Linked DNA regions of Callithrix jacchus. The protein of the gene in region 1 binds, or shares a complex with, the protein of each later gene. Links are inferred from orthologs where the notes say so. Each region holds a gene or a part of one and is shown in the gene's direction. Other genes may lie near its edges. The genes, in order: SIRT5 and PRDX1.

What was found.
Region 2: the proteins of SIRT5 (region 1) and PRDX1 are in contact, whole or in part, in a crystal structure (PDB 8Z54), measured with the Homo sapiens proteins. The link is inferred for Callithrix jacchus from reciprocal best matches to the Homo sapiens genes SIRT5 and PRDX1. Residues at the interface, in NP_001363727.1 of Homo sapiens: Ala86, Tyr102, Arg105, Gln140, Ile142, His158, Val220, Val221, Trp222, Phe223, Gly224, Glu225, Asn226, Leu227, Leu232, Val253, Val254, Tyr255, Pro256; in NP_001189360.1 of Homo sapiens: Phe195, Ser196, Lys197, Gln198.

Annotation. Positions count from the first base shown.
Region 1 is NC_133505.1:17,076,163-17,086,253, reverse strand, and holds part of SIRT5 (NAD-dependent protein deacylase sirtuin-5, mitochondrial), read left to right. Parts: intron 1-121; 5' UTR 122-156; coding exon 157-271; intron 272-3,781; coding exon 3,782-3,915; intron 3,916-7,697; coding exon 7,698-7,923; intron 7,924-10,091. UniProt on the Homo sapiens protein: NAD-dependent lysine demalonylase, desuccinylase and deglutarylase that specifically removes malonyl, succinyl and glutaryl groups on target proteins.
Region 2 is NC_133508.1:82,244,920-82,255,623, reverse strand, and holds the start of PRDX1 (peroxiredoxin-1), read left to right. Parts: upstream 1-5,729; 5' UTR 5,730-5,814; intron 5,815-5,954; exon of another isoform or gene 5,955-6,237; intron 6,238-7,984; 5' UTR 7,985-7,995; coding exon 7,996-8,101; intron 8,102-10,704. UniProt on the Homo sapiens protein: Thiol-specific peroxidase that catalyzes the reduction of hydrogen peroxide and organic hydroperoxides to water and alcohols, respectively.

The DNA of each region.
Region 1 (10,091 bases):
GTGTGTATAATATACACAGTGTGTTTCTATAATATAGAAAAAATATATTTATAAATATTTCTATATCTAAAAATGTTTGCTGATTGTTTCTATAACATTTGTTTTTGTGATTTTTCTAAAGCCTACCTCAAGCATTAGAACTACAAACAAACCCTGATGCGACCTCTCCAGATTGTCCCAAGTCGATTGATTTCCCAGCTGTACTGTGGCCTGAAGCCTGAAGCCTCCGCACAAAACCGGATTTGCCTGAAAATGGCTCGGCCAAGTTCAAGTAAGTCATTCTTACCCATTGCCTCACCTGCGGCCGAATGTGAAGTACCCAAAAGTCCTACACTTGTATGTCAGTGTCAAATTAGGTGTTGGGCAAGATTTTGGAGAAAGCCACCCTGTCCTCTTCTCTTTTAGGGCACCCCTTCTAGGGCGCCTTCAGAGCCGGTCTTCTTAATACTCACATTAAGTCCATGGAGAACATTTTGTTGCTTCTGCCAGAATATTTGCATTTAAGCTTTTGACACATGTTTTGTACTTTAAAGTCCTTATCTCTCTGCAGGGGAGGAAAATTGGTGATTGTCCTATAGGGCCGTGTGAGATTAAATTTTCTCCTGGACAGAAATATTTTGTAGCTCTCCCTGGGAGAAACCTCCAGATTAACCTATCTGCACCCCAAGTCTACAAGAATATAAAGTCTCACAAATGTTTATAATTCGGCGATTCTTAGGTGGGCCTGTTGAACAATGCTTCAGAATGAAACTGAAAGGCCAAGCTGAATTCTTTTTGCTTCCTTTTCAACTTTTGGATAACTTTTCTGCTCAGGATTAATAACTCCTGCTTCCATTTTGCCCCAGGAGTGGAAAAGAACCGAAAGATCCCGTTCCACTGCACCTCCATTCTAGCAGGGTGCTAGCGTCTGTGGTGGGGTGCAGAAGCGTGTGCCTGACCTCGGCTAAAAGTGGGCCGCTGACATTTGAAACCACAGAACATGCTGGCGTATTTTCCTTTAGCCATTGGGAAATATCTTTTTCTTTTTAAGATTTTATACCACGTTAACATTACTGTATTTTACATCCTGTTTTCTAAGAACGAAACATAGGTTGACTCTTAACATTTGTTTCTAAAAGTAACTTTAAGGGGTACCTTGATAGAAGTCACTCTGGCCAGCCTGACCAACGTGGAGAAACTCTGTCTCTACTAAAAATACAAAATTAGGCAGGCATGGTGGCACATGCCTGTGATCCCAGCCTTTCGGGAAGCTGAGGCAGCAGAATCGCCTGAACCCAGGAGGCAGAGGTTATGGTGAGCTGAGATTGCGCCATTGCACTCCACACAGCACCAAGAGCAAAACTCTGTCTTAAAAGAAGTCACTCTGACCTAGAAATATATTCATCAGGAGGATGACAGTTTCTATTTGGGATAGAAAGGACCTTTAGGACTAGAGGGAGTTTTAGGGGTAGATTTTGAAGTCCTTAAGGATGTTCCTATGGGTTGAACCTAGGAAAGTATGTTATGTTTTTTATTAAGCATCTTGTTCTTTCAAGAGATTATATCAGATTAGAAACTGGAATCCACCAGGTCAAGTTTGTAATTTTTCCAAATGCTTCCCGTCTGGACAACATTAGTCTGCCTGTCGTAGGCCTTATCTGTCTGCTGATAGGTAACACGCTACTCGGGAAGGGATGTGAGTTCAGGTAGGGCTTTAGCATGATTGCCGGGGTAGTTGGGTTCGTCACACCTCATGAGAATGGCGTGTTGTGACTGTCCTAATTTGTCTCTGCCTTGTGCTGCCAAAACATGAATGGAGCCCAAGAGGAAAAAGCCTACTCTTCCTCTGAGTTCATTTTTACCAGGAGTCCATGGTAGGGAAGAGAATAAGGAAAGGGGAGGAAGGGCTGAGCCCTTATTAACAGTCTCTATCCTGAGCTGGGCAGAGTGTGTGGGTCTGGGCTTCGAAGGACCAGGAAGTCCCATCCCTGCTTAGAGGGACTCAACCATACGTGAAAACCAGTAGGATGCCCCTTATGGCTGGGATACAAAATGAGGCCACGTTCCCTTTAATTTTCAAGTTCACTGTCTCCAAGCCCCTATCCCACTATCTTCCTTCTAGCAGGCTTCCTGCCTGTCACTGGTTCCATCTTTCAGGGGAGGGTTAGCGTCCCCTCATTCGTTCAGTACAAGGGGTAGCCTTGGTTGCCATTCTTTCAAGAGAGGAAGGCCAGGAAGCCAGCTTAGTCAACCGAGAAATGCAGTTCCATGTTTGCTGGAACCCTTAGTGCTTCAACACAGCTTGGCCGTCCTTGGAAGATCTCCATATCCAGGGCGGGGCATTCCCTGCTTCAGTGTCTTGGGACTGCAGCAGGCAATGAGGTACAGCACTCATTTCTCCAGGGGTAGGGCAGAAAAGGGGCTCTCTCTTCTCCTGGCAGCTTATGTTCAGTGCTATACCCCTTAATTCTGGCTTTCCAGGGCCATAGTGCTTATCTAACTTACAAGGGCCTGCAGAGCTGTAGTGTCTGGGAGAAAAGGGGAGACAAGCTGTGTTCCAGCCTTTTCCCAGTTTCTGCTGCCCAATAGAAACAGTAGCAGCTCCCCCATCCTGAGTTCAAGTCTGGCTCCTGCTTCTTCTTTTGGCATGAGGAGAGTTGTTTCAGGGAAAACATCCCAGCTTGTGATCCATGTAAAGTGTTTGGCATAGCACTTGGGGTGCAGGGAGCCCTTGCCATCGTAGCTGCTGCCCCTGTGTGTCTGTGTTCAGGCAGGAGGCTGCCTGGAGTTCTAGGACAGGAGGGTGAGCCCTGGTCTGTATCCACAGTTACTTCCTCTAGTGTTACTCTCTGTGCTCAGTTCCCTTTGCTCAGTTCCCAAGTCTCTGGCAGTGTCCTGTTGAAAAGTTTGGCTCTTATTTGAGTTGTCAAGAAGATCATGTGTCCTCAAATAAGGCCCTTGTCCTCTCCTTCAGTCGCTGTGCTGAGGGAAGCTGAAAGTAGCAAGATCCCCAAAGGGAAGGTGAATTTAGGGAGGAAGGGTAGGCTTTGGGGTACAGTGGGCCTCAACTCAGCACTCACACAAACATACAGGCCTGTTTTTACTTTTATGAAGGAAGATGGATTCCTTCCCACTAGGCTTTTTTTTTTTTTTTTTTAATGGAGTCTCGCTCTGTCGCCCAGGTTGGAATGCAGTGGCACAGTCTTGGCTCACTGCAACCTCCGCCTCCTTGGTTCAAGCTATTCTCCTGCCTCAGCCTTCCAAGTAGCTGGGATTACAGGTGCCCACCACCATGCCCAGCTAATTTTTGCGTTTTTAGTAGAGATGGGGTTTCATCATGTTGGCCAGGCTGGTCTCAAACTCCTGACCTTGTGATCCACCTGCCTCTCCCTCCCAAAGTGCTGGGATTACAGGTGTGAGCCACCATGCCCAGCTTCTACTAGGCTTTTTTTAATCTTTGTAAAATCCCTGCTCTAGGGAACGCACTACTATGCACCTCAAAGAGCCAAAGAAACTGAGAATGGAAAAAGCTAAGTAATTTGCATAAGATCACACATTTAGTTGGGAGGCTGAACTGAGATGCAAAGCCAGCTTTGTGTGCCCAAAGCCTCTGCTTCTTTAAAATATTGTACACTCACCCAGCAGGCCTTCATAGGATGGTGTCTTTATGGTACAGGAATTGATGTTTGTTTATCCTAAAGTATGATTTCACACTGGGTCAAGTTTCAAGATATAGACAATTGATATGGGATACATATGTGCAAATGGTACACTGGACTGATGAAGATTTTATTCTGTTTAGGTATGGCAGATTTTCGGAAGTGTTTTGCAAAATCAAAGCACATAGTCATCATCTCAGGGGCCGGTGTTAGTGTGGAAAGTGGCGTTCCGACTTTCAGAGGAGCTGGAGGTTATTGGAGAAAATGGCAAGCCCAGGTTTGTAATGTTTCCAGAACACTGAAAGCCTCTCTCTGATGAAACTGTAACAGTGTTTGACTCAGATCCTATACCGAGCCCTGAAACCTGGGGAAATGTTTTGGAAGTTAACTATGACCCTATTGTCCCATTGCTTTTGGCATAAACACAAAGTTCCTGTGATTAAGATAAAATTTAAGTAAGGCTGCTACTCTCCTTTTTAGATATGTATAGATTGCATTAATTCAGATATCAGTTTCTCCTAATAGTTGTGTTAAAGTGAAATCGGAAAACCACGGTTAGCATCTTTCATTACTTTCCTAAAGTTACTGCACTTATCGTATGACAAAATTAAAACTAATGTTGATTATTGAAAGATTAGGGTTCGATATTCAAAAATCTATAGGAAAGCCTTCAGAATGTAAGCTCTGTGATGGTGTGGATTTTTTAAATTCAATTTTTTTAGATCTAATATACATAAAGTAAAAGTCACCAATTTTAAGTGTACAATTTAGTAAGTTTTAACAAATGGACATAGTTGTATAGCCAGCACCATAATCAGAATGTAGAACATTTCTATCCCTCCAGAACATTCCCTCATGGCCCTTTGTAGTCTGTGCTCTCCCATCCCACTGGCTCAGGAAATCCTAGTTTTGGAGGACAAGGAATTGTTTATTTGTTCGTTTCTGAGATGGAGTTTTGCTTGTTGCCCAGGCTGGAGTACAGTGGCATGATCTCAGCTCACTACAATCTCCACCTCCCAGGTTCAAGTGATTCTCCTGCCTCAGCCTCCCTAGTAGCTGGGGTTACAGGCATGCACTGCCACACTCCACTAATTTTTGTATTTTTAGTAGAGATGGGGTTTCACCACATTGGCCAGGCTGGTCTCGAACTCCTGACCTTAGGTGATCTGCCTGCTCGGGCTCCCAAAGTGCTGGGATTACAGGCGTGAGCCACCATACCAGGCCTCTGTTTGTTTTATTCATTGCACTGTCTCCAGTTTCCAGAACTCTGGCACATTATAGGTGCTTAATAGGTTTTCGTTGGTTGAATGAAAGCAGGAATAAATAAATGTCTTCCAGGGTTAGTAGCTTATTTCTCACTGAATGCAGAGTTCATGAACCTGCCCCTTCCTTCTTCTGAACAGCCGAGGCTGGCAGGTGTTTGGGTGTTTTGCCTCCTGCCTTCTGCCCTCTAGGTGAAGGGTGGGGGTTGTTACCTTAAAGGTGAAGTGGGGGAGAAAAGAGAGCAGAGAACTTTAGGGGCCAGCAAGAAAGAGGAACCACAGGGAAGTCCCTTGATTAGCAGCAGAGGGTGGGAGGTCAGAGGGTGTGGGAGGAGCTTGGAAGAGGGGCGCTTAGTTGTGTCCAAAAAAGCTCAGAGTTTGTGGGCAAAGCATAGAAGTAGACAGAATGTATTTGACTCCAACCTCCTTCCAAGGACACCTGTGGACATGTTCGTGTGCCACCTATAAACTACTCCAGGCTGTGTGTTCTGCATGGAGAGCAAGCCCCTCATGTGGCAAAGGCTGACATTGCCTCCAAGCAGAGGGGCCTTTACAGTAGAATGAAATGCACACGTGTTCAGTGTAGGAAGCGTCTCCTTGATAGAGAAGCCATGCTTCTTTTAAAAATTATTATTGAGGCAGAATTTCCTTAGAATAAAATGCACCTGTGTGCATTGTGTTTGATGAGTTTTGACAGGTGCATGCACTCATATAACACCCCACCTCCACTGTCAAGAAACAACGTTTCAGTCCTTGCTGCAAGTTCCCTATGCCTTTCCCTGCCAGCTCCCAGCTCAACCTCTACTCGGCTCCTTTTTGAGAAAGGAGGTTTGTCTCTCCTAGAACCATATCTGAAGTATATGTATTTTATCTGTTCTGTTTATATATAATATACACTTTTTATGTGTAGTTGTGTGTGTGTTTAGTTGTGTGTATAGTTGCATGTATGTATAGTTGTGTATGCATGTAGATGTGTGTAGTTGTGTATGTATTAACAGATATATGTAGCTGTGTATGTTTAGTTGTATGTTGTGTAATTGTGTGTTTAGATGTATCTGTCTAGTTGTATGTGCACTTGTTTGTGTAGATGTATATAGTTTTGTGTATGTTTAGTTGTGTGTGTTTAGTTGTATGTGTACACTTATTTGTGTATGTAGATGTATAGTTGTGTGTGTATGTTTAGTTGTGTGTGCAGTTGTGTGTATGTAGATTTTTGTAGTTGTGTTTACATTTAGTTGTGTGTGTGCAGTTGTGTGTATGTAGATTTTTGTAGTTGTGTTTACATTTAGTTGTGTGTGTGCAGTTGTATGTAGATGTATGTGTGTTTAGTTGTGTGTGTGCAGTTGTGTGTGTATGTAGATGTGTAGTGTGTGTAGCTGAGTGTATGTTTAGTTGTGTGTATGTGTGTATAGTTGTGTGTGTAGCTGTGTGTATGTTTAGTTGTGTGTATGTATGTATAGTTGTGTGTGTAGCTGTGTGTATGTTTAGTTGTGTGTATGTAGTATGTATGTGTGTAGCTGTGTATGTTTAGTTTGTGTAGTTGTGTGCGTGCAGTTGTGTGTGTATATAGAGGTGTTTAGCTGTGTGTCTGCAGTGTATATGTAGATGTGTGTAGTTTTATGTGTGTTTAGTTTCTGTCGTATGTTTAGTTGCTTGCATGTGCATATAGTTTATATGTGTGTAGTTGTGTGTATGTGTTTAGTATGTGTGTATGTGTAGTTGTATATAGTTGTGTGTGCAGCTGTGTGTAGTTTGTGTAGTTGTATATGTGTGTTTAGCTGTGTGTGTGCAATGTATATGTAGATGTGTATAGTTTGTGTTTAGTTTGTGTATGTAGTTGTGTGTATGTGTGTAGTGTGTGTAGTGTGCAGTTGTGTTTGTAGATGTGTGTAGTCATGTGTATTTAGCTGTGTGTGTGCAGTGTATATGTAGATGTGTTTAGTTTGTGTGTTTAGTTTATGTGTGTAGTTATGTATATGTTTAGTCGTGTGTATGTCTAGTTGTATGTGTATGCAGTTGTGTGTGTATGTAGATATGTGTAGTTATGTGTGTGTTGTATGCATGTTTAGTTGTGTGTGTAGTGTGTATGTTGAGATGTGTCTAGTTGTATGTTGTGTGTAGTTTGTATGTTGAGTTGTGTATGTGTAGTTGTGTATATGTAAGTTGAGTTGTATGTAGTTGTGCGTATGTATGTTGAGTTGTGTGTGTAGTTGTGTGTATGTATAGTTGTATATGTGTAGTTGTGCATGTCGTTGTGTGTATGTATGTTTAGTCGTGTGTATAGTTGCATGTGTATAGATGTGTGTAGTTGTGTGTGTGTGTAGAGCCATAGCTATAGTTATAAAAACTGAGTTTCTCAACCATGGTCATTAGACCTCAATGGGCATTTTGCATTTTATGTTTTTCCTGGGTATAGGTCAAAATGAGATCCACTTCATATTTTAGAGCTCCATGAAAAAGGCGATTTGACCCAAAATACCTTCCTGCATGTTACTTTACTTCATGTTCACAACTTACTTGGTGTGGGGGAATGGGATAGGTTGCATTCTTCCTGCCTTGTCACTAAGGAAACTGATTTCTCCAAGGTCCCAGGGCAGTCCCAGGATGGGGACATAGGCTGGTACCCAGGCCCTGCCACGTGGCATATGCCATGTTGTTTGAACCTAGTGCTTCGACCTCCAGCCTGCACCCTCCCAATGCTGCTTGTTTCTGCCTTAGGGAGGAAAGGCCTGTGCCCAGGGTTCAGCATCCTGGCTGCCTCTGCCTCCCTCACTCCTATCTCCTCTCCCACTCCCAGGACCTGGCGACTCCCCTGGCCTTTTCCCACAACCCGTCCCGGGTGTGGGAGTTCTACCACTACCGGCGGGAGGTCATGGTGAGCAAGGAGCCCAACGCCGGGCACCGTGCCATAGCAGAGTGTGAGGCCCGGCTGGGCAAGCAGGGCCGGCGAGTCATGGTCATCACCCAGAACATCGATGAACTGCACCGCAAGGCTGGCACCAAAAACCTTCTGGAGATCCATGGTGAGGTACCCCCCGCCTCATGTTCAGGGAACCAGCTTTAGAACACCTATCCTGCCATTTCAGCATCACCTCTGTTGGCCTCCCTCCCTCCTTGCTGGACACCCATCTCGTCCTTTAGGATGCTGTGGCATTTCCTTCCGGGACATGTTAGTGCCCTGTGGCACCTGGGCAGCTGCCTTTGGCCATGGGAGGAGCCCTGACCCACTGACATTATTCACTTGGCAGTTCCTACATCCTCACTGCTCAGTGTGGTCTGAGAGCCAGCAACGTTTGGCATCCCCTGAGAGCTTGTTAGAAATGCAGAATCTCAGGCCCCATCGGACCCACAAAATCAGAATCTGCATTTTCCCATGAGCCCAGGTGGCCGAAGTGCCTTTTACACTGGAGGAACGCTGGGCTGCACAGCTGTGTGACCCCTGCCTCTGTAGAGGGGTGCAGTGCTGTGAGACAATGGCCTCACTGAGCCGAGGAACAGAAGGCCTGGCCCATTGGACAGGCAGGGCTTGAGCAGGATCAGGCAGGGGCAGGCTATGGCATCTGGGGGTCTCCTCTCCCTCTCTGTTTGCCCCGGTGGACACTCCCCACTGAGACTGTGCTTCTGCCTCGGCCTGGAACCTCAGGGAGCTGCCAGCTCAGTACCAGGTACTGCACCAACCCCACCTAGCCTGTGATGTCAGTGGAGTTTGTCTTGGGTCCCTGTGGCCTCCTTCCTCTGTCCTGGGTGGCCCCTCATCTCTTCACTCTGTCTTTTGGCTCCTCCCTTCTTTGCTGTCACCCTAAATCTAATACATCCATTCTTCCACGGTCATAATGGGCAAACTAGGGTTTCTCCCAAAGCCACTTGCATTTAAAGAGTCTGCATTCAAATCCAAGGAATGCATTTCTTATATTTTAAGAATTTATTTCTCTTAATTTTTTTTTGAGATGGGGGTTTCATTCTTGCCCAGGCTGGGGTGCAGTAGCCTGATCATAGCTCATTGCTGCCTTGAACTCATGGTCTCAAGGGATCCTCCCACCTCAGCCTCCAGAGTAGCTGGGACCACAGGCCCATGCCACTATGCCCAGCTAATTAAAAAAATTTTTTTTGTAGAATGGTGTCTCACCATATTGTCCAGACTGGTCTTGAATTCTTGGCCTCAAGTAATCCTCTGTCCTCAGCCTCCTGAAGTTTTGGGATTATAGGCGTGAGCCACTGCGCCAGCCAAGAATGCATTTCTAAGTGTAGAATTTCCAGAGGCAGGGCACCAGTGGGGGTGTTTGATTTTGGGTGTGTGTGGTGAAGCTACCTCCTTTTACTTAGGTCACCCTGATAAAGACAGGGAGACACTACTCACTTCGACCCTGTTTCTCTTTTGTGTGCCTGGAACAGTCAGCCACCTATTAACCGAACAACTTTTCGGTACCTGCATCTGCTGGGTCTGAGCCGCTTTCCACATGCCTCTGCTCATTTCCCTGCAATGTCAGAATGTGGGCTAGTCATCGGCATAAAATGGAGATGACAATGCCTATTTTACAGAATCGTTGTGAAGGTTAAATAAGATCATACATATATATGTGTTAGGACTTTTTTTTTTTAGTTTCAAAAGATGAGAACTCTCTTCCAACCTAGGTTAAAAAAAAATCAGTGGCATCTTCTGTCTGATGAAGGTTTTTTTTTAAGATGCATCATGTTTTTAATGTGGCACTTAGAATATAATCTGCCTAAACCATGATATACTGTTATTATTCCTTAGAATTGTTATTTTATACTTAGAGAAAGAGCTTATTAAAACTGAGACACCTTCTTTAGAAATTTTATCTTTCCAGGCATACATAAAGCATGAGCATGGTCCAAATATTTCTCATTATCTAGCTCTTCTGAGTGATTCTGAGTGACTCAGAGCATGGATGGGTCTGTGTTTTCCATGCAGTTTCACGCTCTGTACCTCAGGAGATGGATGATGCAGCCTTTCTTGAGAGAATGCCCCTCTGTTACAGCTGGGATTCTCATCCAAGCTTCTGACACACACTCCACAGGTGCGCTATTGAGCCTTTCATGCTCTTACCAAACGGTGTCAGTGGAAAGGCTGTAGACACAGCCAGAACTTGCTTTCCTCCCGGAAGTGGCCCTTGAATGGTTTGTTGGTGGAAGTATCCAGAGGTTGTATCTGCCCGGTCAGGCCACGGAG
Region 2 (10,704 bases), on another chromosome or scaffold:
TTGAGATGGAGTCTCACTCTTGCCTGAGCTGGAGTGCAATGGCACAATCTTGGCTCACTGCAACCTCAGCCTCTCGAGTTCAAGCAATGCTTCTGCCGTAGCCTCTCAAGTATATTGGATTACAGGTGCCCGCCATGATGCCTGGCTAATTTTTTGTATTTTTAGTAGAGATGGGCTTTCACTATGTTGGCCAGGCTGGTCTCTAACTCCTGACCTCGTAATCTGCCTGCCTTGGCCTCCCAAAGTGCTGGGATTACAGGTTTGAGCCATTGCGCATGGTCATTTTTTTGTGTTTGTTTGTTTAGAGACTGGGACTTGCAGCACTAATTACCTAAACTGGGCTCAAACTCCAGTGCTCAAGCGATCCTCCCACCTCAGCCTACCAAGTAGCTGGAACTACAGGCATGTGCCAATGTGCCCCACTCTCTTTTGGATCTTTTTTTGTTTTTGGGGGGATGGAGTCTCGCTCTGTCACCCAGGCTGGAGTGCAGTGGCGTGATTGGCTTAGTGCAACCTCCCCCTCCTGGGTTCAAGCAATTCTCCTGCCTCAGCCTCCTGAGTAGCTGGGATTACAGGCACTTGCCACCAAACCCATATAATTTTTGTATTTTTAGTAGAAATGGGGTTTCACCATGTTGGTCAGGCTGGTCTTGAACTCCTGACCTAGTGATCTGCCTACCTGAGCCTCCCAAAGTGCTAGGTTTACACAAGTGAGCCACTGTACCTGTCCTCTTTTGGTTCTTTTTTTTTTTTTTTTTTTTTTGAGACAAGGTTTTGCTCTTGTTGCCCAGGCTGGAGTGCAATGGCGCGATCTCAGCTCACCGCAACCTCCACTTCCTGGGTTCAGGCAATTCTCCTGCCTCAGCCCCTCAGTAGCTGGGATTATAGGCACACGCCACCATGCCCAGCTAATTTTTTGTATTTTTAGTAGAGACGGGGTTTCACCATGTTGACCAGGATGGTCTCGATCTCTTGACCCTGTGATCCACCCGCCTCAGCCTCCCAAAGTGTTGGGATTACAGGCTTGAGCCACCGCGCCCTGCCTAATTTTTTATATATTTTAGTAGAGATGGGATTTCTTCATGTCAGTCAGGCTGGTCTCGAACTCTCAACTTCAGGTGATCAGTCCATGTCGGCCTCCCAAAATGTTCAGATTACAGGTGTGAGCCACCATGCCCGGCCTCTTTTGGTTCTTAAATGAGATAAATAAACTCAAGTGCTCAGCCCAGTGCCTGGCACATGGTGGATAAAATAGGTGACAATTTTCTTTGGGCTGAAGTATGACTGTGTGCACTATGTATTGGTTTAGTCTGCCCGTAGCCTCCATTATTAAGCTCTGAACTTTTATGCTGCCTCTGCTCCTTCAAGAAAGAAAGGAGAGTCTCTCTGAGCCTAAACTGGCTTGGGTGGCTGCCTGATAAAAAATAATGAAAGTGATATAAAAGTTAAAAAAAATGCATAAGCAGTAAGGACAGAAATATAAAACAAAAACAAAAACAAAACAAAACAAACAAAAAAAGTTAAAAAACAAAAAAGGAATAATGCCAAATAACTATTCAGCCTCAAGCAAAGAAGGAAAAAGCAAATAAATCATTACTATGCAAGGTAGTATGATAAATAACAAAAATTGAGACGCTCAGTCATCATGACATAGCACTTTCTCATTCATTATCCTACTATAAAAGCCAAGGGAGTTAGTGGGGGAAGTGGGGACAGAGAGAGGAACGGAATACTATTGATTGAATGCCCACTGACTGAGCTCCTATTTTACATCAGATGTTGTGTTGTGACTTGGGGACACAGAGACAGATGTGACCCACATCCTACTCTCCAGAAAGTCACTCTAGCAGGCAGAGGCAGAGATATAAAAATAAAATTGCTTAAAATATATTTTTGGGCCAGGCATGGTGGTTCATGCCTGTAATCCCAGCACTTTGGGAGACTGAGGCAGACGGATTACAAGGTCAAGAGACTGAGATCACCTTGGCCAACATGGTGAAACTCTGTCTCTACTAAGAATACGAAAATTAGGGCCGGGCGCGGTGGCTCAAGCCTGTAATCACAGCACATTGGGAGGCCGAGGCGGGTGGATCACGAGGTCAAGAGATTGAGACCATCCTGGTCAACATGGTGAAACCCCGCCTCTACTAAAAATACAAAAAATTAGCTGGGCATGGTGGCGTGTGCCTGTAATCCCAGCTACTCAGGAGGCTGAGGCAGGGGAATTGCCTGAACCCAGGAGGCGGAGGTTGCAGTGGGCCGAGATCGCGCCATTGCACTCCAGCCTGGGTAACAAGAGAGAAACTCCGTCTCAAAAAAAAAAAAGGAATAAGAAAATTAGTTGGGTGTGGTGGCACGCACCTGTAATCCCAGCTATTCAGAAGGCTGAGGCAGGAGAATCACTTGAACCTGGGAGGCAGAGGTTGCAGTGAGCTGAGATCATGCCATTGCACTCCAGCCTGGTGACAGAGTGAGACTCCATCTCAAAAAAAAAAAAAAAAAAAAAAAAAAAAATATATATATGGCTATTGTTTGGACACAAAGAAGGGGAATTGTAAATCCTGGGAATGAGTGAAGGTAAGACACACTTTGAGAGGAAGTAATGCTTCAGCTGACTCTTGAAAGATGTTTTCTCTAGGCCAGTTAGGAGGGAAAGAGTTTTCCAGGTTCGAACAAAAGTCTGAAGGCGGCCGGGAACGGTGGCTGGCTCCTGTAATCCCAGCACTTTGGGAGGCTGAGGTGGGTTGATCACCTGAGGTCAGGAGTTTGAGACCAGCCTGGCTAACATGGTGAAATCCCATCTCTACTAAAGATAGAAAAAATTAGCCAGGCGTGGTAACGCATACCTATAGTCCTAGCTGTCCTAGCTACTCAGGAGGCTGAGGCAGGAGAATCACTTGAACCTGGGAGGCAGAGGCTCCAATGAGCTGAAATCTTGCTGTTGCACTCCAGCCTGGGAGCACAAACGAAACTCTGTCTCAAAAAAAAAAAAAAAAAAAAAAAGTCTGAAGGCTTGAAACAGCTACGCTGTGTTCTGGGTGTTATAAGTGAGAGGAATGGAAGAGTTACAGTAACTGCTAACATTACTAATTTATAAGAACTAAGAACTGTACTGAACTACATAGATAATCACAATGAAGTATGAATATTATTCCCATTTTACAGGTGAGAAAAGTAAGGTTTGATGGGTTTAAGAATTGCCCAAGGTCATACCTAAAATGACAGCGAGGAATTTTTTTTTTTTTTTTTTTGAGACAGAGTCACTCTGTCACCCAGGGTGGAATGCATTACGCAGCTCACTGCAACCTCCGCCTCCTGGGTTCAAGCGATTCTCCTGCCTCAGCCTCCAGAGTAGCTGGGATTACAGGTGCCTGCCACTATGCCCAGCTAAATTTTTTTTGTATTTTTAGTACAGACGGGGTTTCACCATGTTGGTCTCGAACTCCTGACCTCAGGTGATCCTCCCACCTCCCAAAGTGTTGGGATTATAGGTGTGAGCCACCGTGCCTGGCCAGTGAGGAGTTTTAACTCAGTAAATTGACTACAGAGCCCCAGCTTTTATTTATTTATTTATTTATTTGAGACAGAGTCTCACTCTGTTGCCCAGGCTGGAGTGCAGTGGTGTGATCTGGGCTCACTGCAACCTCTGCTTCCCAGGTTCAAGTGATTCTTTTGCTTCAGCCTCCTGATTAGCTGGGATTACAGGCACCCACCATCATGCCCAGCTAATTTTTGGTTTGTAGAGACAGGGTTTCACCACGTTGGCCAGGCTGGTCTCGAACTCCTGATCTCAGTAATCCGCTTGCCTCAGGCCTCCCAAAGTGCTGGGATTACAAGAGTGAGCCACCGCGCCTGGCCCTTATCCCCAGCTTTTAAACCACAAATAAAAGTGACATGATCAAATTTCAGAAGGATTTCCTTTAGCTGCAGTGGAAGGGATGGAGAAGAGAGAGCATTAATTGAAATGAATGACTAAACTGACTAAACTACGTCAGAGACACTTCTGTGACTGTTTCTTCCCAAGTGGTTCTCAGGAGGTTTTTAGTATTTATACATTTTCCTTGAAAAGTGGGGGTGGGAGTGAGACGAAGACTTTAGCTAATTCTAAGCAAATCTACATTTTTACATAAGATAAGGTGAACGGGCCAGGCACGGTGGCTCAAGCCTATAATCCCAGCACTTTGGGAGGCTGAGGCGGGTGGATCACGAGGTCAAGAGATTGAGACCATCCTGGTCAACATGGTCAAACCCCGTTTCTACTAAAAATACAAAAATTAGCTGGGCATGGTGGTGCGCGCCTGTATTCCCAGCTACTCGGGAGGCTGAGGCAGGAGAATTGCTTGAACCCAGGAGGCGGAGGTTACGGTGAGCCGAGATTGTGCCATTGCAGTCCAGCCTGGGTAACAAGACCGAAACTCTGTCTCAGAAAAAGTTAAGGTGAACGTTTGAGGAAAAAGGGAATACAGGAAAAAAAACATGTGGTGGACTCAGGGAGGGGTGAGGGAATCTGCACCTGAAAAGATTATCTAGTAGTCAACATTTATGGAATTTCTGGAATGGAGGCCAGCTGCGGTGGCTCACGCCTTTAATTCCAGCACTTTGGGAGGCTAAGGCGAGCTGTTGGAGACCAGGCTTTGGAAACCAGCGTATCCAACAAGGTAAAATTCCATCTCTTCTAAAAATACCAAAAATTAGCTGGGCGTGGTGACGGGTGCCTGTAGTTTCAGCTACTCCGGAGGCTAGGCGGAAGAATCGCTTGAGCCTGGCATGCGGAGGTTGCAGTAAGCCAACACCCGGTCACTGCACTGCAGCCTGGGAGACAAAGTGAGTGAGACTCCGTCTCAAAAAAAAAAAAAAAAAAAGCGTAATAGAACAAACTTTAGTTTTAGGAACTAGACTTTAGATTGAAGATCTAGTTACAGTTGACACGTCCTTGTTTTATGGGAGGCTATAACGGTTTCCAGGGTAGCAAACAATTATGAATGATTTTGTGAGTGTGTTTGTCGGGGGTAGTCATCAGGAAATGTCTGAGGCCTTTTGCCTAACCGTGTGTGATGGATGGCTAATGTGTGATGTTTTGACCCAAGATTGTAAAGTCAGTTATTCATCCGTAGAGAGGATGGTTGTGTACCTGAGTCAGCCTCCCAAGCTGAACTTTCACAAGTTTAGGTGTCCTCAGACTTTATTTTCCTTTACAACAGAAAGCAGCAACCCTGTAATCAAAGTGAACAGTGAAGGAAACGATGTAAGCTATGAGGGTTACTCAGGAGTTACTCAGGATCTGAGGTGGGGTTAAGGTTGCGAATTTAAGAAATATTTGGATATACAGTTCTCAGGGCTTGGTATGGTTCGACGTGGTCCTCCGTGGGCAGCAGCTAGGAGGCTTACTCCGGGTTGGGCATTGAGGGTACAGTGCGCAGTGGTCCTGGAAGTAAAGAGAATCCTGGTTTTCCGCAGAGATCTAGGATCAACCTAAACGTTTGGGTTTGGGAGCGGCCACAAGGGTGCCTCACTCCAACCTCTGCAGTCCGCAGTAGGGAGGGGGATTAGCATTTCCGCGCCCGCCCCCAAGAGGGAAAGCGCCGAGTCATTCTGGCGGGGCGCGCCAGGGTGGGGCGGGGTTCCTGCCACATCCCCCTCCCCTCTCTCCTCCTCCTGCACCCCCGGCCTGCTTCGACTCTCGCGAGAGCCGTAATAGCTATAAAGGCTGCGCCTCGAGCGAGTTTTGCGCGTCCTCTTTCTGTCCGGTGGTTTGTTCTCTGAGGCTTGTGTCAGGACTGGTGAGTGTGAGCGGCGCGGCCTTAGCTGAGCGAGGTGCGGCGCGTACTTGCCTTTTGCCTCTTCCTCCTCCTGTCCGGGGCCCGTCTGCGCTCGGCTTGGGGTTCTGTGGTGCTTGAGGGAGCGGGGGGAGGCCCGGCGCCCGAGACTGCCTGAGCGCTACGTGCACCCCTCACGTGGCCCCCCCGCGTAGGTGGGGGCACCTGGTTGAATCCCAAGTCTAGCGTGGATGCTAGTCGAGTCTTACCCCGGCAACCCGAGCACGTGAAGCGGCATCGGGGCGGGCTGGTGGTGGGGTCTCTAACTCTAGCTTCCTGCTGGGCTGGGTGGGTTCGGGAAGGTTCTGGAATGGACCTGTGTCCGGACTAGTGGCTGTAGAAAACAGCCTATACTTGTCTATCTTGTGATAGGGTAAAGGCTGTTCCGGGTCCTGAGCCTTGACTAGATTCGGAGTTTCGGGTACTTTCCCCATCTTTATTTTCTTGTACGTGGAATGGAATTAAGAGCCCAAATGCCCCCGCTGAAGCACTCTTTCTGCTGGTGCTTTCCCTGTGTTGGGTGTGATAGAGCCGGGTACCTGGAGTTTAGGGGTGTGGCCCTCGGCACTGAGCAGATCCCCTGAAGGGACCCGGCGCCGCCCGAAAACCCAGCAGCCTTTACCCAGAATTGGTTGGGTTTTGGACTTTCGGGCCAACTGGGAATGTAGGTTTGGACAAGAGGCCATTTATAGGGTCACCAAGTTGCAGTATGCCTTAGTTTTTTGTTTTTGTGTTTTGTCGTTAAAGGTTTTAAGGACTTTTTTTTTTTTAGGCGACTTTTAAAAAAGCAGTAAAAAGTTGGCTAAGATCCTTGCTCACAGAGTTTCTTTTGGTTGTGGTATTATGAACCAAGAACTTTGGGACTTTGAGAAAACTTTGAGACCGAGGCTTAGTGGGTTAAATCTCTGGTTTTTTTTTTTTTTTTTTCTTTTTTTGAGACGGAATTTCGCTCTGTCAGCCAGGCTGGAGTGCAGTGGTGCGATCTCGGCTCAGTGCAACCTCCGCCTCCCGGGTTCAAGCGATTCTCCTGCCCGAGCCTCCCGAGTAGCCAGGATTACAGGCTTGAGACGGGGCTCCCGGCCAAGATCTCGATACTCATCTTGGTGTTGACCTGGGTGAATCCAGCGCAACATTTCTTTTCAGCAGTAAATTTGTTCTTGTTCTTATTTTCGTCCTGTGATATTAGACCCGAAGTCAGAAACCCGTTTGTGAAGGGACTTCTCGGGTGTACACAATACCTAAAGATTTGAAATTGAGCAGATGCCAATATCTTGGTCTTGTCTCTTTTTTCTTTGTGTTTTTCTTTCTTTTCTTTTGAGATCGTGTGTTGCTCTGTCGCCTAGACTGAACTGTAGTGGCGCGATCTTGGCTTACCCTCGCGGTGGCTCGCTTCTGTAATCCCAGCACTTTGGGAGGCCGATGCGAGTGGATCACTTGAGGTTGGGAGTTCGAGACCAGCCTGAGCAACATGGAGAAACCCTGTCTCTACTAAAAATACAAAAAAATTAGCCGGTTGTGGTGGCGCATGCCTGTAATCTCAGCCACTCAGGAGTCTGAGGCAGGAGAATCGCTTGTACCCTGGAGGGCAGAGGTTGCCGTGAGCCGAGATTGTGTCATTGCATTCCAGCCTGGGCAACAAGAGCGAAACTACGTCTCAAAAAAAAAGTTGTATTGGCTGTAGGTGTGTGCTGTTTTAGACACAGCTACCTGGAGAAAAGTCAAATATGCTTCTGACGTTATGAAGGCTGGTGGAGGCCCAGTAATGGGAAAGGTCAACATGATTTTTTCCAGGCCAAACAAAAGCGTTTGTGGCATTGTGCATTTGGATTCTGGTTTGAGAGTCTTCACCTGCTCCATCTCTGCTTCTGTATAATGAGTAAGATGCCTGCACAAATCATGATTCAGAAAGAGTGAGAGGTGACTTCAGTATATGAAGAAATTGCCTTGCTGTTTTTAAATGAAAACAAAGGCCGAGATTCAGAGTCTTGTTTTGTTCCACAAGTTGGAAAGCTCAGATTGCTTGAGCTTCTTACTAATACAACATTTAACGTATTCAGGGACATACTGGACAATTCCTTGATTGTTCTACAGCTAAGTCTCTTAGTAGGTGCAGGCTGCCGGTTATCTAGAAAATTAAGGCTTGTTTCTAATTCATTTCTCTTTTCCAGCTGATAGGAAGATGTCTTCAGGAAATGCTAAAATTGGGCACCCTGCCCCCAACTTCAAAGCCACAGCTGTTATGCCAGATGGTCAGTTTAAAGATATCAGCCTGTCGGACTACAAAGGTAAAAGTAATTACACTGGGCTCATTGAGATGGAGTTATTTTATATTCTAGAAATGGCATGTTAGATCTGTGTCAGTGTTGTGTTTGACTGTAAAATGTTTTGTCTCCTAGGAATAAGTATTTTGGTTGTTGCCTTCATGTTGAAGTGAAGTGGTGATTAATCAAGTGATTACAGTGTATATATCCTAGGACCAGACCACTTCTGGAGAAACCACATGCTCCATTATGTTTGGACATACTAGTTCAGTTTTCTCTTGAGTATTCCTTGTCTTTTTATTTATTTTATTTTAATTTTTGAGACAGGGTTTCATTGCATCACCCCCCAGGCTGGAGTGCAGTGTAGCAGTCATGGCTCACTGAGGCCTCTGCCTCTCTGGGCTCAGCTGATCCTCCCACCTTAGCCTCTTGCATAGCTGGGACTGTAGGGGCATACCACCACGCCCGGCTAGTTTTTGCATTTTTTGTAGAGATGGGCATCATGTTGCCCAGGCTGGTCTCCACCTCCTGGGCTCAGGCCCTCTGCCTGCCCTAGTCTTTCAAAGTGCTGGGATTACAGGAGTGAGCCACTGCATTCCACTCTCCTCTGTTTTATTATTGGAGAAATTCTCATTATCTCATTATAAGAGATATTCTACATTTAAAGTCTTGAAGCTCACTCAAATCTTTGGAGCTGTGACACTGCTTGTAAAGCTTGTTTGGGTCACATATATATCACAGCTGTTAATATTAGACTGAGGGCTGGGCACTTTGCCTTGACTGTTTTGACCCCAGAGGAGAGTTGATGTTATAGATGGAACAACTCTTCTTTCTGTTGTCATAGTTTCATGCAGACACTTGGCAAGTTCTGTTGAGGCTCTCCGTTTGTCTTGTAGTTCCAGAGCAGCTGGATCTCCTGGGACAGTTGAGGATATAGATTCCTTAGAATGCAAACCTGAAACTCAGGTGTAAAGTGTCCTTTTCTCAGTGGTGTAGCATCAGGTTCTGGAGTTCGCTTTTGGTAAGAGCATTTGACTATTTTTCCTGAACATAATCACACTTAGTTGTTGGGGCTTTTCCTGGCAAAGAAGATTAAGTTGTACCATAGAGAGGTGACCTTGGCCCAGGAGTATAAGCAGGAAGTCTAGGAGGAGCTGCTTTCTGCCCTTCAGGGCTTGACCTGCTGAGGCCCCATGGTGCTTGTTAGGCAAAGCCCTGAGGAGTTGTTTAGATGAGTTAGGTTCCAGTGATACTGCACAATGGTAAATGTCAAAAAGGGCTGCTTGTTTGACTTGACTTTTTTGAGATGGAATTTTGCTCTTGTGGCACAGCCTATAGTACAGTGGTGTGATCTTGGCTGGTCTTGAACTCCTAACCTCAAGCAATCCTCCCATCTTGGCCTCCAAAAGTGCTGGGATGACAGCACCTGAGCCACATTGCCCGGCGTCCAAAAGTGCTGGGATGACAGCACCTGAGCCACATTGCCCAGCCTCCTTAGTTTTTTTTTTTTTTTTTTTTTTGACAGTTTCGCTCTTGTTACCCAGGCTGGAGTGCAATGGCGCCATCTCAGCTCACCACAACCTCTGCCTCCTGGGTTCAGGCAATTCTCCTGCCTCAGCCTCCTGAGTAGCTGGGATTACAGGCATGTGCCACCATGTCCAGCTAATTTTTTGTATTTTTAGTAGAGACGGGGTTTCACCATGTTGACCAGGATGGTCTTGATCTCTTGACCTCGTGATCCACCTGCCTTGGCCTCCCAAAGTGCTGGGATTACAGGCTTGGGCCACCGCGCCCAGCCCTAAGTTTTGTATTTTTAATAGACTAGTTTCACCATGTTGGTGAGGCTGGTCTTGAACTCTTGACCTCAGGTGATCCACCTGACAGCCTCCCAAAGTGATAGGATTACAGGCATGAGCCACCATGCCAGACTTAGCCACCACACCCAGCCTGTCTGACTTTCAAACATTGCTGCTCCCTGGAAATGAGGGAATGTTTGGAATTGTTTAAGTATTTAGGCCTGTTGGTTGTGGCTAGAAGGCTGCCTGGCCAGTTCGAAGAGCTATTTCAATGGTTAATCTGAGTGACTTCATTAAAATTGCAGCTAGAGGTTCTGTTACTCACTAATACTTTTGTCTTTTCTGTGTGTGTTTATGTCTATGTATTTTTTTTTTTTTTTTTTTTGAGACGGAGTTTCGCTCTTGCTACCCAGGCTGGAGTGCAATGGCGCGATCTCGGCTCACTGCAATCTCCGCCTCCTGGGTTCAGGCAATTCTCCTGCCTCAGCCTCCCGAGCAGCTGGGATTACAGGCATGCACCACCGTGCCCAGCTAATTTTTTGTAATTTTAGTAGAGACGGGGTTTCACCATGTTGACCAAGATGGTCTCGATCTGTTGACCTCATGATCCACCCGCCTCGGCCTCCCAAAGTGCTGGGATTACAGGCTTGAGCCACCGTGCCCGGCTGTATTTTTGTTTTGAGACAGTCTTGCTATGTTGCCCAGACTGGCCTCAAACTCGTGGCTCAAGGGATCCTCCCACCTGAGCCTCCTGAGTAGCTGGGACTATAGGCACACACCACTGTGCCTAGTTTAAAATTTTTCCTGTCTTGTCAGGCAGAGTAGGAACAC